Linked DNA regions of Saccharomyces cerevisiae S288C. Each later gene encodes a partner of the first gene's protein in a complex. Each region holds a gene or a part of one and is shown on either strand. Other genes may lie near its edges. A codon is read from its position in the direction of its gene.

Region 1 (7,282 bases):
ACATGCCAATGACAGACCCTTGAGTGATTGGGAGAAGTTTTGGCTTTCTAGGGAGTGTTTTCTAAGATACCTAAGAGCCAATAAATGGAACACCGCGAACGCCATAAAAGGTCTCACCAAAACCTTGGTATGGAGGAGAGAAATTGGACTTACACATGGTAAGGAGGACAAAGACCCTTTAACAGCTGACAAAGTTGCCGTTGAGAACGAAACTGGTAAACAGGTTATTTTGGGCTTTGACAACGCTAAAAGACCTCTATACTACATGAAAAATGGTCGTCAAAACACAGAATCTTCCTTTAGACAAGTCCAAGAATTAGTCTACATGATGGAAACTGCGACAACTGTAGCTCCCCAAGGTGTAGAAAAGATCACAGTCTTGGTAGATTTCAAAAGTTATAAAGAACCTGGTATTATCACTGATAAAGCTCCACCCATCTCTATTGCTAGGATGTGTTTGAACGTCATGCAAGATCATTACCCTGAAAGGTTAGCTAAGTGTGTCCTGATCAATATCCCATGGTTTGCGTGGGCTTTTTTGAAGATGATGTATCCGTTCCTTGACCCTGCCACTAAGGCGAAGGCTATCTTTGACGAACCATTTGAAAACCACATAGAGCCATCTCAACTAGATGCTCTATACAATGGTCTGTTAGACTTCAAGTATAAACATGAAGTCTATTGGCCAGATATGGTTAAGAAAGTTGACGATTTACGATTGAAACGTTTTGATAGATTTTTAAAGTTTGGAGGCATTGTCGGATTAAGTGAATATGACACCAAGGGCCAACATGACGAATTAAAATATCCTGTTGATATGGTCATTTGATAAACTATAATTAAGATTTTTTTTTTTAACGTTTCCCGCTACACAAACGTATATATCTAGACTCAGATGTACGTTTATAATGGCTGCTTATGCGCTTATCGCATTTTATATACTTTTAGAATCAACTGAATCGGCTATCCGCACTCTATTGTTTTGTTTCATGAAAAAAAAAACGCCTTCTGAATTCCAAAGGGTGTGAAAATTATATATACTATTAGTTCCAGCTAATCAATCAGAACTAGTCAACATAGAAGATAGATAAGAGAATACGACAACTAAAAATGGCTCCGTCAATGATTCCGTTCACTGTATGTTTATATTTTATAGTAATTTTTAAAAAGCTTTAGTATGCAAAAGATCTAGGATGTACTAACTGAAGAAGGGTAAAACTATCATCCAAATTATTGTTATAGATCAAGCTTAAAACATGCCTGAAAATGTGTATTCAAAGGTTAAGATATGCTCAAGAAAAGCAACAGGCGATTGCAAAGCAGTCTCGAAGACAGGTTGCACAACTGTTACTGACAAATAAAGAACAGAAGGCGCATTATCGTGTGGAGACGCTAATTCATGACGATATTCATATTGAGCTACTAGAGATATTGGAACTATATTGTGAATTACTACTGGCTAGAGTGCAGGTAATAAACGATATCTCCACCGAGGAACAGCTTGTCAAAGAGCATATGGATGATGGTATTAACGAAGCTATCAGATCCCTAATCTATGCGATTCTTTTCGTTGATGAAGTCAAAGAACTTAGCCAATTGAAAGATTTGATGGCCTGGAAAATAAACGTTGAGTTTGTTAATGGAGTAATAGCAGATCATATCGATGTCCCTGAAAAGATTATAAAAAAATGCTCTCCCTCAGTTCCAAAAGAAGAACTAGTTGATCTTTATTTGAAGGAAATCGCGAAAACATACGATGTGCCATATAGTAAGCTGGAGAATTCCTTATCTTCGTCGTCTTCTAACATTTCTTCAGACTTTAGTGACCCCTCGGGAGATATCGAGGATAATGACGAAGAAAAGCCTATTTTAGCCTTAGATAATGACGATAATGACAATGCAGATGCTAAACACCCTATCACTGTTAAAAAGCCTAGGCAGAATAGTGAAAATATCAAGAACGAGCTCAAGATTCCGAAAGATATCAAAAAGGAAGTGATCGAAAAGAAACAATCAGAAAAGAAAACTACAAAAAGAAAGACTAAGAAGGAGCAAGAAAATGATGAACTAGATGAGTTGAAGAAACGGTTTGACGCTTTACGCAGAAAATAAGATAATAATTTATATGTATGGTTAATTAACCACATATTTATTTTACTCTCATTCTTTTACCTTGCTTTTTCTGAGTCAGCTGCTCTATTATTCTCGGCAATAAATAAATATATGTATATTCCTTTTACTAAAATTCCAATTTTTTTGTTCTCCGGACATTTGCAAATTGTTTTTCCAGTTCTGTCACAGCTATTTTCCTTCTCAGCTATATATACCCTGTGTAATAAGTTGAAATTGGTCGTATATTCTGGTGTAAATACTACCCAAAGATTTACCTATCAAGAAATTTTCTACGAAGTCATCAACTTCTTTTTCTGATAAGTCCAATTGGAACCTTTGTCGTAGTTGTACACTTGTTTGTTCGCCAGCATCGAAACAAGGCTGCATATTGTCCTTTTGCATAATCTCACACATTGATACGATTTGATCAGCATACTTTCTCAGAGCCTTGAACGAACTTTTAGTTAGTTCAACAAACTTTTTAAACGCTTCTCCCTCTACTCCGCCTAGCAGTTCAATATATTCGTAAGTTAATTTGAATGGTGCGGCCTCAAAGCCCACTGAGCCGGGTGAATTTGATAGCATAAATCCAAAATCGATGTGACTTACATGGCCTTCGTTATCGATCATAATGTTACCGTTGTGTCTATCTTTAACCTGCAAGAGATAGCAAATGACAGAATATGCGGCTAACGAAGAAGCAAAGTTGTCTTGTGCTCTTCTATACTTAAATCCATTAGGATTACCAAAAGCTCTAAGGAAGTGATCATTCAAAGAGGCAATACCACCCTTGTCATCTAGTTCTGCATCTTCAATCATTTTTTTGGTTAAAGCCTTTTTAATACTATGCACAGACATAGCATTTGTGATGGTCTCCACAAGTCCCGTATTCGCACTAGTAATTAAAATTTTCATTCTTTTAACCCAAACGTCAACTTTTTCTTTAACCCAAATATTGGCCATCGCTTGAATCATCTGGTATGCAAACGCCTCCTGTCTCAAATCATCACCCGTCTTGGCGATTACAGAACATAAATCCCAGTTTTCGAAATGGCCATATTCCGAAGTTTTACGTATCCTCTCTTTCTTGGTAGCCCAATCTTCACCTAGATATGAAGTGTCAATACCACCCGTCATTAAATCGTTTTCCAATTTTCTCTCACCTGCCATTCCATGAAGGGCTTCCAAATCATGGTAACCAAATTTATCCTGCACCTCCTTCATTGATGAAATAATTTGAGCGCGGATTTGTTTGGTACTTTCTGATAACTGTTGTGGCGACTTATCCAATTGTGCTAACATAACAGCTGAAACTCTCATCTGGTCTGCTAAAGCGTCAGTTTGGCTATGTATATTTTTGCTATTAATTCCATTCTCGATGAGTACTTCGTCCAAGTTTGAGCCAAAGTTCAACTCTGGGCTTCTGTCTTGACTATCATCAGGTAAAATTGGAACATTTGCGGCACTCTGTATTACTAAAGCATTTCTATACGCTTCGTCATCCGTTCTGTTCCTGACTTTTACCATTGACATATCACCTAAATCTTCCTCTTTATTGACTTCAGTCCTAACATGAGCTGTGGACGCTGAATCACTTCTTGAGGTACTGGATAGACCTTCATTGCGGGAGGCCCCGTTGTTGAACGAGTTACTATCATATACCGAAGATCGAGTGTTGTTGCTAGTAAGAGTACTTTCATTTCTATTTTCGTTGTTTTCTTTTCTATTCATGTAATTTAAATCAAATATCAAGCCTCCCTGATTACCACTGATCTTCTTTAATAATCTTTCATTGGTTTCACTTGTTGGGTCAAAATCAAATTCGTCTCTCAAGTATTCTATCAGGAGTAAATATGGAACTTTTTCTGCAGAGTTCAAAACTTGTGCCTCATTAGCAGTAATGGTCACTAATTTATGTAACTTTCCTTTTTTATTTGGAGGCAATAAAGTGGGGATATCTACTTCCGCTGGTAGGTCCCTGTTTAATAGAAACAACTCGGCTCGTAAGGCACTCAATCTAGCTTCTGTCGGTACTCGAGCTAGCCTTTGAGATATTGTTTCTAGCGCAATGGCAAATTGTGTCTCGCAACGAAAATAATTTGCTTTTAACATTTTTATTTTTGAAGTGGTCGATAATTGCGACAAGTCAATTTCTTGACTCAAAGAAGAATTCGCTTTTTTACTGTTTTTGAATGCCTGGCGCGAAAGGGGTTGGGAATTGGTCCTGTTTAACTTAGGTGTCCCTTCTAAAGAAGCAGATGAAGCAGAAGAAGTCCTTGGTTGAATATTATGCAGATCTGGCATAGAACTGGTGAAGTGATCAGAGTTTAAAGCGTCCGCGTCCTCCTCCGTTTCACCACCAGTTTCATCTTCATTGTTACCAATCTCATTATTTTCATCATTACGTCCCTTTGGAGAAATATAATCACCTTTATTTCCATCGAGAGCCTTTGCGGTATTTGAAATGCTTCCGTCCCTGTTTATATTTTTGCCATCATATGTCCTATGAACGTATGAATTATCCAAATACTTAGGTTTACGTTTTGGGAGTTTGATTGAAGATGAGATTCTTTCTTCAAAGACCTGGTTACCTATATCATCCACAATGTCGAAATCCAATTTTACCTCACTATGTCTGGATTTCCTGAAGGATGCATCTTCTTTAGTTTTTATTGGATCTATTAAATCTATTGGAGAAGTCGGAGTTGAACTGCGATTTGAGCTAACTCTTTTGGATCTGGAAGTTTTCTTGTTTAGTAGGGTATTTTTCAAGGTCATGTTCTTGGTAAAATCTTTCATTGCACTTCTAGCCAACTTAAAAACGAAAGCTTTTTGTCTTCTACCTTGAGATTCCACTAATGGTTTGGTCACTTCGCTTAATTGGGGGAATGCTATAGCCGACATTATCATAGAGGAAAGAACTAAGGCCGGTGCAACGTTTTCATGTATTTTAACATTTTTATCGCTACCTGAACTTGTGTTAAAGAGATTGGTTTGTAAGTTGTTTAAGACTCTTCTAGCCACTTGGAAGCCATAAGAAGCGGGGTCAGTAGATAAATCCGTTAGTAACGCTTGTAACTGCCAAAACGTCAGTAGTGCAAAATGAGGGTTTTCCGCCCTCAACCTTAATAGTAAATCTTCTAAAGCCATTGATTCTGTCTCCATGGTGACGAGGACCTGTACTAGTTGGGGAATATAGAACTGTAGTTCGCTGTGAGGAAATGTGGCCAATTTCTGACATAAATAGTAATGTATACCAATATTTTCGGAGTGTTTGCACAGTAACTCCACACAATTGTGAAGGGTGAATTCACTAGAGTTGATCAGTTTCAGTAATTGTTCATTTTTTTTTAGTTCAATAGTATCATCAAAGCTTTTCTTTGAACTGGATGCTTTATGCATAGTGAAGAGAACGAATGCTTAATGAAAACGAACGCTCGCAATGAAGAAAAATGATAAGCTAATTGAAAATTTCTAGCAGGGTCCAGGGATCTTCTTAATATAGAAGTTGGGCCTAAAAAATGAAGGGTCTTCAGTATAAGATCTTGTACTTTTAGTTTTTCTCTAACGAATTTTTTGGTAGGGTTCTTTTGTTTCAGTGCAATAACACGAAAATGACAACAGTTGAACATATCGTGAATAATGACCCTGTTATACACGCTATCAAGTACGTAAAGGATAATATGGAAAATTTATTATAGATTTGAGTACTATCGCTGGCCGAAGGTGACAATGGCCTTATGATGTAACATACTATGAATAGTGAATAATAAGTGGTGATATTATACATAAAGTTTGGGGCAATCCCTCAAAATCTCTACAGGCTATTTTGATTAATGAAACGTCTATTTTTTTATTTTTTTCTATTTTGAAGGCATGCAAGAGGTTCTGTGACTATGCAACAGCAGCCCAGAATTTCTCCCATAAATTCTTAGGCTCGTCGTCTTCCCAAATAATTGCTTCGATTTCTCTTCTGTCGGAATCGATGTCAATATCTTCTAGCTTCCAAATAAATCTGCATTTGTAGTATATCTGGCAACCAATGAACACAACGGCTAAAAGAATCAAGGAGATGTAAGATGTGAAAAACTCAGAAACTTTGAACGGACAGAACGCTTGGAACCCTTGGATGAATATGATGACGGTGACAAAAAAGGCTGCGTAGTAGGCACCATAAGGCATCAATTTGGCCTTGAAGGGCAGATCATCACGAGAAATACCACGGTGCTTTAAAGCTTGCATGAACCTAATATGTGCCAAAGAGATGAATAACCAGGCGCATAACCCAGCCAAAGTGGAAATGTTGATCAACCAGTTAAATGCAGTGTTTGCATTGTTATTGACAACCAGGAATGCCAAAAGACCCAATGCAGCAGTGCAAACAACACCGAGATATGGAACACCCTGTCTGGTGACGTATCCAAATTGCTTTGGTGCGTTACCAGTCCTAGCTAAAGAGTAAAGAACACGGGAACCAACGTAAACATTCGAATTAGCGGCAGATACAACAGTAATCAACACCACGGCGTTGAAAATATCTGGAAGAGCATAAGTACCAGCGTTTTGAATGGAAATAACGAAGGGTGATGATGCAATAACAGCAGAACTAGCAGATAAACGGGAATCGTTGTATGGAACCAGTAGACCAATAAAGAACAAAGACATAATATAGAATAGTACGATTCTAAAGACGACTTTATTGATAGCTCTTGGAACGGTCTTTCTTGGGTTAGCCGCTTCACCAGCGGTGATCCCAACCAGTTCAGTACCTTGGTACGTAAATGCAGCATTAATCAAGGAGGAGACCCATCCGAGAAAACGGCCTTCACTTTTATCACTGGAGATGATGCCTGGCCCCCAGGCTCCTGGATTTCTCCAGTACCTGAAACCGATAGGGCCCTGGTGGGATCCACCGCAGACAATAATCAAAGCATATATCAAGTAACCCATAATGGCTAAAACTTTAACAGAGGCCACCCAGAACTCAAATTCACCATAAACTTTGACAGGGAAAAAATTCATCAAAGTAATAATTACCCAGAATATCGCAATCCAGGCCGCTAATGGAACTTTATCTGTCCAGTATTCAATAACTTGGCCAATGACAGAAACCTCCACAGCATAAGTAATAGCCCAATTGAACCAGTACATGTAGCCGTTAGAAACACCG
Region 2 (9,822 bases), on another chromosome or scaffold:
AATATCATTAATAGAAATCTCAGTGGAGATACCATATTCAGAAAGCATCGTCCTGAATTGTGTCAAATGAGGAGGAATGTTCCAGACTTCATTTATCCATTCGAACTCTATACGAATAGGAGTTGTACCCAGTTCAATTATTGTGGACTTTAAAACGTCCGAGGCATTAATAGTAAATGTTTCGCCAACTTTCATGAATTTTTTATTTAATGATGTCAATTTACCCTTGTTAACTAAACACAGGCTACTGTGTTTCAGATCCGAACTATTATTGATTTCCCATTTGAATGTGATATGCTGTCTGGAAATACTTTTATCATTTTTAATTATCAGTGGGTTTTTACTTGATCTACCTATACTATAAGTTTTGAAGGCCTGAAGACAACATGATATAAAGCTAATAGAGCCATCTTCCAATGTATTCTGGTATCGTACTACCCACATAAATTTATAGTTATCACCTTCTCAGTATTGTTGCTCATCTATTACAAAATTCTGCTTATTTGGTTTACGCATTGCTTTTCATAGAAAAAAAGGGCTCCCCATATAAATTTAAGAAAAGTACTAATATTTAGCGTAGTTAACAACTTTACGAAAATGAAAATGAAATATTTCTCGGAAAAGTATTATATATTATACACGTCTCTACATTCCAAATAATTCTACGTTTCTTGGAGTAGTCTTAAGTTTAGTGATGACGATGGCGTTGTTAGTATCTATACCGATTTCAAATGATTCTGGTTTTGTACTGCTATAGTCAGAGATATTTGCCTCCACCAGCTTACAAATTGCTTCAATACAATAATGACACCATTCTACCGCAATTTGGGCATTATAGTTAAGTTCCTTTTTATTTGTAGGTAGACCTGGGTGATTGAATTTCTTACATAATAAGTCCCTTGAGTACCATTGAATGTCTAGTAATTGACCGCTATGACTGTCCCTCAAACCTATCATGATATCTGAGTTCGGTAATAAACCCGTCTGTACCCACGTTTTCAGAAGTTTTCTCCTATGATTGGAATTGTGCATTGATAATGGGGCAAAACACTTTAGTTCTGTGTTTGTCTCCGAAACAGGATTGAATGCATCCATTTCGCAGCGAATTAAAAGACCAATTTCTTCTGAAAGTTTACTCTCTACAAGAGAAAAAATAGGACATTTAGAGCCAGTTAAATCAGCGACTTTGGAATTTTCGGTTACCCAATTTTCAAATTCAAATCCTGAATAGCAAATTTTCTTCATATTTGGATCATTTGAATAAATGCCCTCTTTGGACATTTGAGAATCTTTTTTTACATTTCTGCAAAATGAAAGAAGGCCCGCCCCCATATAAGTTACAATTAGTGACGTTTGTCTATTTCGCCTGTTAAAGAGATGCATAGTCAAATCTACGATATGATGTCTTGTGGTTACAACAGTAAATTTCTTGCCGATCTTAAAATCCTTACCAGGATTATCTAGTATCCAGTTCTCAATGTATGAAAAACACGGTGATACACTATCTAATTCGGATATTGTCATGGGAACGAACTCATCAATATTAGCAAATAAGTCATGGCCTAAATACGGGACTTTCCGCTTTTTTGCCTCAAGAAGCGAGCTTTCATACAATTCAGCAATACTTTCTTTCAAATTTGGTATAAGGTCTTTGCGTAGGATTGTATAAGCCCGGCCATTGGTAAACAGAGCTACTTCTTTACTTTCATGAAATATATCTCTTGGTGGTTTCGTCAAAAAATTGTGCATACCAGTATGCAGAAAAGACGTATATGGGATACATATAAGTTTCGGACGTCTCTTTCTATAATTGTCTCTCTGTTGTGAAGGCTTCCTTGACGAAGATGAATCAGAAGTAGTTTTCTCTTTGCATAATTTACTTTGGTGTCCTCTCTCGAGATTGGGCACAGTAAGCAAATTTATACCTTCTAAATCTTTGGCCAATCCAAGAACAGCATCTTGTTCAGTTGACATAACTGAGTTTGGCTAGAAAGAAAACTTTGACATAAAATCATCGATACCTACAACTGGCGCTGTAATGCAACAATGCCATTATAAAAGTAAAACATGCTGCGAAAATTGCGGAAAAACTGGAAAAATCAATAGTGGGGTAATCCCAGTTAGTTTGACACAATAATTTGGTGATTTTGGTGGAATAATCATTATTTGTGAGGATACACCAACGAAAAGAACCTTTTGTGGTAGTATGGTCCAACAATTGTATTTGCAGGTTGGTACTAACAACCTCTATAAGTAGACGATACAAGAGTGATCATATGGTAGGACACTCAGCTCAGCACAGATCAAAAAGCAGCTTAGTGTCTCACCTACTAATACTACTTATCTTTATAACGATTATTATTGAAATGTGTTTATATAATAAAATTTTTAAGAACCAAAGGTCGGATGATATTAGAGACAACTTTAACAATGGCGGACATCGAGTTCCCAGTAATGTCCAAAATCATGGAACCCATATAAGAGACGAAGCCTTTATATCAGGGGTCTATTATTCCAATTGGTCCCCATACAAACCGAGGTTTCATTTCCCTCACGACATAAACTTGAAGCAAGTGTCTCACATTTACTATGCATTTTTCAAAATAAACTCTAGAACTGGTGGTATAGAAAACACGGATAGTTGGTCTGATCTAGAAATGAATTTGTATAAATCGCTGGCAATTAAAAATTCAGAACTAATTAAAGAAAGCTCGAACAATAGTGTCCAAAACATCCTACCCTTAGGTTGCATTGGTGAACTATTTTATTTGAAGAATACCTGTTCTGATAAGAAATTTAAAGTTATCATGTCAATTGGGGGCTGGTCTGATAGTGAAAATTTCAAAATCATAATTAAAGATGATAAACTCTTACAAAATTTTGTTGATTCGTCGGTGGAAACAATGTTCAGATTAGGATTTGATGGCATTGATCTAGACTGGGAGTTCCCTGGTAACAATGAATCAGAACCTCGCGGATATCTGAAACTGGTCAGAATGCTGCGATTAAAACTAAACAGCCTCGAATCCCAAATATTTGGGAAACGTACTGAAGATCATTTTCAATTATCTATTGCGGCACCTGCATTCAAGGATAAATTATTTTACTTGCCAATCACAGAAATTGATCAATATGTTGACTACTGGAATATGATGACGTACGATTATTATGGCTCGTGGTCAGAAACAACAGGATATCACAGCAATCTATTCAGTGAGACGGAATTGAATGGAAACTTTGCCATGCATTATATGATCGATAGATTTGGCGTCAATTCTAGAAAATTAGTACTGGGAATGGCCGCCTACGGAAGAAGTTTCCATATCAAAGATAACAAATTCGAACCATTCAATCAAAATACTGTATTAATTAACAAAATTTTCAAAGGAGTGGGCAAGCCCACTAAAGAAATAGATAAAGCTGATGGCAAGGAGGGCATCTGGCCTTACAAAAATTTACCAAAGATTGGTACAATAGAACAATACGATCCAAAATATGTTTCAGCATATTGCTTTGATGAAAAAAATTCAATATTTATCAGTTATGATAACACTAAATCAGTCAAAACTAAGGCTGAATATGTGACACATAACAATTTAGGCGGAGGCTTTTGGTGGGAGTCATGTGGTGAAGCTTATGCAAATGAGTCAAGGTCGTTGATAAACGCATTTAATGAAGGCTTGCACTTTAATGTGTCATCAAAACCATCAATATTTCAAGATGTGAGAGTTAAAAAATATTACTTGAATAAATATGGCGATGGCGGATTTTTATCTCCATATTTAAAGCATTTGGATTCAAGAAAGCAATGAATACGAATGTGGGCGTATATAATAACAAAAAGTTTGGTCTATTTATTATCCACTCCGTATATGTATATACATATATACAAATTTCGTTTATTAATGTTAGAGGCTTATAAAAAAAAGCTTGACTTTTCCTTATGTTTCAAAGAGAGGATTTTTGTTGTTATTTTCATAATAGCATATCCATTCTTGAAAAGACTTCAAATACACCAGCAATAACTTCCAATTGTAAATCATGACCAGGATTGTTTTCTATCTCTTCTTTAACTTCCTTGTTTAAATTAACGGAGACACCTAACTCAGTTTCCTTTTCTAAATCAAATGGGTATTGCGAAAATTGTGCCATTATTTCTTCAGCTCTACTAATTGCCTTATCTCTCTTCTCATATTCCAACGTAGTCAGGACATTCTCCAATACGTTTGCCCCATATGATCCACATATTAAAGCTAAAGTTCTAATGATTTTGAAAGATGTTGTCTCCGGAAAATATTCATTGTAACTTAATTCCATGTTCCTCGATACGAGTACAGAAAGTACTCTGCGCTTAATGGCTTCTTTGCAGCTGGCGTCTGCAATGGGGTGTGTCGCCATGTCAAACAAAAAGAAATTTTTCATTTCTGTTCTCAATACACCTTTATCGACCAAACCTTTTGCCAATCTTTCCCTTACTTGTTTCAATTGATAGTTGATCTTTAAAAGGTTCCATGTTTCACCACTTAAAAGATCAATCCAGTTAGAAATTGACAAAGGTTCGTCGTTTTTCATCAATTGCAAAGTTTCATCCAGTAAAACTTCCCCAGTTTTGGAACTGTCAATAACTTCAATCAACCTTTCGGAAAGATCGAACCTTTTCCTGGCGGAATCATCTAAGATTCTGATTTTACCTCTTAACGCTAATTCTATAATTATACAACCACGCAAAGCATATGAAATACTATCATTCCAAAACGACAAATATCCTTCTCTATCTCTTAAGCCCATCAATAAGACTTCTTCCATCAACGTTAACGTAGGGATATTGATGTTGTCTCTCAATTTCGATTCTTCTGGGTCATATGCAATCTTTTTGTTTGTTCCATTGTCATCATCCCCGTCAACAGCAATATTTGCGATTTTGTCTCCTTTGGTATTGTTAGCAGAAGAATGAATGGAGGAAGTATCTCCAGAATCCGCCCTATTGACTCTACGACGTTGTAAAGTAGACATGATTTTTGCTTTGTATTTTTTTAGATAGTTTTTGTTTGAATTCTTTTACGTTATCAGATCAAAAGTTGTAATGAAAATATAGCCAACAATGAAACTGCTAATTTAGCTCTATTTGTTAGCGTGGAAATTTGAAATTTATTTTTAATCTATAAATGCAGCAGCCCAAACCGAAACAAAAGAATAAGTGAGTTGAACAGAGTAAGCAACGGGCCGATATAGAACTGAAAAAGTCAACGTACCCAGAAAGCAATTAACTGCGACACAAATAGATGTCAATGTCCAAAAAGGATAGATAAACAAGATTACGATCCAAGGCAGGGATCTAATTGTTTTTAGGTAAATGCGTACCCATTAGCCTCTTTTTTTCAGTAGTAGTTGACTGCTCAGGAAGTAAAAAAATGAGCCAGAATTGATCATTAAAAACGAAAAAAGGGTAACTCTTCGGTGTATTTTTTATTATTATACCATAGAGTACTGAAATAATGTTTAATTTGTCAACGATTGAACTGATGAACTAGGGATATTACCTCCTGTTTTATAATTGTTGCTAGTTTAAGAATCGGCGAGAGTTATTTTGTGCTTGAAAACTGTTTTTGATTCAAAAAAAAAATGGGAGCCAAGACGTCAAAGCTTTCCAAAGATGACCTGACATGTTTGAAACAATCCACCTATTTTGATAGAAGAGAAATCCAGCAATGGCATAAAGGATTTTTGAGGGATTGCCCTAGTGGCCAACTAGCTAGGGAAGATTTTGTTAAGATATACAAACAGTTTTTTCCATTTGGTTCTCCTGAAGATTTTGCTAATCACCTTTTTACAGTTTTTGATAAAGACAACAATGGATTCATACATTTTGAAGAGTTTATCACAGTTTTGAGTACAACGTCCAGAGGAACTTTGGAGGAAAAACTGAGCTGGGCTTTCGAACTTTATGATTTGAACCATGATGGATATATTACATTTGATGAAATGCTAACCATTGTGGCGAGTGTTTATAAAATGATGGGGTCTATGGTTACACTTAATGAGGATGAGGCAACGCCCGAAATGAGGGTAAAGAAGATCTTCAAGTTGATGGATAAGAACGAAGATGGTTACATTACGCTGGACGAATTCAGAGAAGGTTCTAAAGTCGATCCCTCTATTATTGGTGCCTTAAACCTTTACGATGGCTTAATATGAAAACTTTGTTTTTGCTTCTTATGGATTGGATGTTATAACAGTAGAAGTAATTTTAGGATAATTTTAAATAAAAATAATATTAAAAATAATAATAATACTAATAATAAATGAGAATAAAATGTTGATAAATGAGGGATAAGGTCTATTCATACGTCTCATCCAAGAAGGAGAAAATATCAGAATCTTGAGTTTTAAATAGATTAATTATTGAAATTCCAATCGAATATGGAATTTCTTGAGTATCTCTGGAATGTGTTATCGGTTTCATTTCATTGGATGGTATCAAAAACCTTTTTAACGATCTGTTATTTATATCACGCACGATCACCCATCTTACTTTAAAGGCTTTGCCATATTTTTGTTCATCTTCCCATATACTGGTGTCCAAATCCATTTTCAAATCCGATACCATTTCTGCAACGCCACAGAATCTTCCTGATGTGTTGATTGAAAAAAATAAAAACACTTTGGCTCCCGAATTAAGCTTTTTATATGCCTCAGATAGCCTTTTGTTGCCGAAATGAGTAGACGACCAAATTCCGTTGTAAAACGACCTTTTGACATGCTTCAAAGACGAGGACTTTATTACAAAAAATCTTGAGTTTTCTGGAATATTTAACCAAGGGGGAATAATTGCAGCACTTTTTCTTTTATTAATTTCATTGAAAGTTTGTTCTTTAGTTGACTGCTGCAAATACCTTGGTTTGGATAAATATTCCCTGTAATAATTATTATTGCTATTATCAGATTGGTTGTAGTCTCTAGAAAAGGAGAAATGCCGATTTAAATTTGAGCTTGTCAATGGAATACTATTAATCTGGTGTGTATAGTTTTCATGAGTGATCTCTTCTTTATTTTCTTTCTTGTTAATATCATTTAAAGCTGTGACATCGTTCTTTAGCTTTGGGTTTGTTTGTACTTCAATATGAGTTCTCTCCAAGGAATGGATCAACCCATCTAGTTCTCTTAAAGAGTCTTCAATTGTCCTGTCATTTCTCTTATTTTCTTTCCATTCAGAGTTGAAGTAAAAATTTGGGGGACCTGTAGACCAGATTTGATTCATTTTTAGAGCACAACGCAATACTTACGTCACACCAGCCGTAGACGATATCTTCCTTTCTTAACGAAATAGTAACAGAGGACACAATCTGAAAACTTCTTTTGCGATTCATAACCAACAGAAAATTTTGGAGGAAAACAATGTAGCTGTATAAATATATATATATATATATGTATGTATACTTATTTATTTATATATATATCACAAAAGGCTACCAAAAAGATTAGCCGCCGAGGTACATCGTGAGGAGTGATATTCTGGGGAAACGGGTAGCGATTTCGTGTCTATTTTCGGTCACCAAGTCAACGTTACTTACTGTCGTATAACCAAAGTACAACAATAGCAACAGTTCCTAACATTCTTCCATGGATACGGAAGCATTGGCCAATTATTTGCTACGGCAGCTTAGTTTAGATGCGGAGGAGAATAAGCTAGAAGATCTTCTCCAACGGCAAAATGAAGATCAAGAGTCTAGTCAAGAATATAACAAGAAATTATTATTGGCATGTGGATTTCAGGCCATTTTAAGAAAAATTCTGCTGGATGCTAGAACAAGGGCAACTGCAGAAGGTTTGAGGGAAGTATATCCTTATCATATTGAAGCTGCAACGCAGGCTTTTCTGGATAGTCAATGAAGGGGTATTTTTAAGCCTCTTTATCATATACTCTTTTGTTCGTAATAGCAAATAACTCGGTCTTATTAACGAGAAAAAGTTAAAGCATCTTCTGAATTTTTATTATATACAAGTTATGTAGTAAGGCGCCACTTAGCACCTAGAAAATATGATTAGCGTTCCGTAAGCTGGAGACCATTTTCAACGCATCGTGTGGTGCATCTTTATTCATAACGAAAAGTCCTTGCAACTGGGCGGTACTTACGGTGATATCCAATTCTTTAACACTATTTACAAACTTTTTGCATATATCAGTCTCACCTGGGTAAAATTTCATAAACATTTTTTCTACCTGGTATGGAGTTGCGTTACCAACGAAGACTTTGTAGTCAATACGACCTGGTCTCATTATAGCCGCGTCTAGCTTTTCAGGATGATTGGTAGTCATGAATGTAATAGTTTCTTCAGAAGATGTGACGCCATCCAGGGCATTCAGTAAACCGCTAAATGTTACGCTAGAATGAAAACCTTGTTCACCAGTTTGACTTCTTTTGTTGAACGCCGCGTCAATATCTTCCAGTAATAGTATGCTCCTTTCTGGCATGTTATTCATTAAGTGGTTTAATCTGTCATCTGTTAAATTATTTTCGGAGAGGTTTAAAATACAAATGTTGTAGTCTAATTCGCCCGCTAAAGCCTGGATAAAGCTAGTCTTACCAGATCCGGGAGGGCCATAGAGTAAATATCCCCTGCGATATGGGATACCCCTGTCAGAGTACCATTTGCCGTTCTTCATAAAATCATAAACGTCATCGAGAATACCCTCTTTGATGCCACTGTCCAAAATGACGGAGGGCAGCATCCTTTTAGCTTTTGGTTGACCAAACTTTCTCCATTCAGGGCCGAAAGAAGTGTAAATAACAGTCTTGCCCTCAGTAGTCTTCAGGGCTATGTCTTTAGCCTCGTTCAAAATGTCATCGAACAAATGTTTGTCACGGTACAGTGTAGTTAAGGTTACGGTCTCAAATGGTGACCCGTTTGCGATATCTATCATTTTTGCGGACCTTTCTCTTTTAATCAGGATAAAAGCACCCTTATAACGAATCCAATGATTTCCCGGACCCGGAACCAGCGAAAATTTTGTACTAACTGATCCATTGTCATGTTGTATGTAGTTTGTCCTAACGGATAAGTGTCTAGATACCCTTTGAGGATGTTTGGCCATCCATGTTAGAAACCAGGCGTATGATTTGTCCTTCGACTGAATCTCTAAGTCGACAATCATTTGTCGGTATAGGACCCTGCTGGCTTTTATTATACCGGATCTAGCTACAGCTAAACCTGTACCAAGGATCATAAGACCACCGCCGGCGGCAAAATAGGGATTGTTTGACATAGCATCGCCAACTAGTTTTGAAAGTTTTTCCCGGACTGAGTCATTACCAGTTTCATTTGTTGGCGGAGTAATTACACCACTCAGATTTGGAGTAGCCTGTTTATCATATTGTATGTCAATCGGCTTATCCGACATGGTAGATTGAGGGCACACTTCATTTTTTTTCAAATCGTCCCTTGGTACGTCTACTGCGTTGCAAATATAGAAGAGTGGAAATCTTTACTTATACTATTTACATCGATTTTTCGGCACTCTTTAAGGGTAACTCAATCGAGATATAATTCGAAGAGCAGTAAACTATAGCTCGAACGTAACAGAAAGTTTTTTGCTTGCTATAGTTCTTGGCCACAACGCCTCATTCATTCATTTAGAAAGTTTCTCACTCTTTCTTCTTCCTTTTTTAGCTCATTACTTGTGAAAATGAGCTTTGTTCAAATAAGGCACATTTCTTCACAAATAAACCGTAAGACTGTATCCATTGTTGGATCGGGGCCTTCCGGCTTTTATACAGCGTACCATTTACTCAAGAAGTCACCGATTCCATTAAATGTTACTAT

What was found.
Region 2: the proteins of PIK1 (region 1) and FRQ1 are in contact, whole or in part, in an NMR structure (PDB 2JU0), measured with the Saccharomyces cerevisiae proteins. Residues at the interface, in NP_014132.1 of Saccharomyces cerevisiae: Ser122 (codon at 5,151), Tyr123 (codon at 5,148), Gly124 (codon at 5,145), Phe125 (codon at 5,142), Val127 (codon at 5,136), Ala128 (codon at 5,133), Val131 (codon at 5,124), Asn134 (codon at 5,115), Leu135 (codon at 5,112), Gln136 (codon at 5,109), Asn138 (codon at 5,103), Asn141 (codon at 5,094), Thr142 (codon at 5,091), Ser143 (codon at 5,088), Lys151 (codon at 5,064), Glu154 (codon at 5,055), Asn155 (codon at 5,052), Val156 (codon at 5,049), Ala157 (codon at 5,046), Pro158 (codon at 5,043), Ala159 (codon at 5,040), Leu160 (codon at 5,037), Val161 (codon at 5,034), Ser163 (codon at 5,028), Ser164 (codon at 5,025), Met165 (codon at 5,022), Met167 (codon at 5,016), Ser168 (codon at 5,013), Ile170 (codon at 5,007); in NP_010661.3 of Saccharomyces cerevisiae: Trp30 (codon at 5,710), Gly33 (codon at 5,719), Phe34 (codon at 5,722), Arg36 (codon at 5,728), Asp37 (codon at 5,731), Ile51 (codon at 5,773), Tyr52 (codon at 5,776), Phe55 (codon at 5,785), Phe56 (codon at 5,788), Phe64 (codon at 5,812), Phe72 (codon at 5,836), Phe85 (codon at 5,875), Leu89 (codon at 5,887), Thr92 (codon at 5,896), Ser93 (codon at 5,899), Arg94 (codon at 5,902), Lys100 (codon at 5,920), Leu107 (codon at 5,941), Tyr108 (codon at 5,944), Met132 (codon at 6,016), Ser134 (codon at 6,022), Met135 (codon at 6,025), Glu142 (codon at 6,046), Arg148 (codon at 6,064), Lys151 (codon at 6,073), Leu155 (codon at 6,085), Asp176 (codon at 6,148).

The regions. Positions count from the first base shown.
Region 1 is NC_001146.8:139,110-146,391, reverse strand, and holds PIK1 (1-phosphatidylinositol 4-kinase), read right to left. Parts: upstream 5,515-7,282; coding exon 2,314-5,514; downstream 1-2,313. Other genes in the region: PDR17 (phosphatidylinositol transporter), read left to right, coding at 1-829; IST1 (Ist1p), read left to right, coding at 1,111-1,137, 1,243-2,112; LYP1 (lysine permease), read right to left, coding at 6,007-7,282. UniProt on the Saccharomyces cerevisiae protein: Acts on phosphatidylinositol (PI) in the first committed step in the production of the second messenger inositol 1,4,5,-trisphosphate. PIK1 is part of a nuclear phosphoinositide cycle and could control cytokinesis through the actin cytoskeleton.
Region 2 is NC_001136.10:1,217,137-1,226,958, forward strand, and holds FRQ1 (frequenin), read left to right. Parts: upstream 1-5,622; coding exon 5,623-6,195; downstream 6,196-9,822. Other genes in the region: XRS2 (Xrs2p), read right to left, coding at 1-444; DXO1 (Dxo1p), read right to left, coding at 646-1,974; CTS2 (putative chitinase), read left to right, coding at 2,277-3,812; VPS74 (Vps74p), read right to left, coding at 3,976-5,013; PHO92 (mRNA-binding phosphate metabolism regulator), read right to left, coding at 6,338-7,258; WIP1 (Wip1p), read left to right, coding at 7,621-7,890; bifunctional AAA family ATPase chaperone/translocase BCS1, read right to left, coding at 8,030-9,400; ARH1 (NADPH-adrenodoxin reductase), read left to right, coding at 9,686-9,822.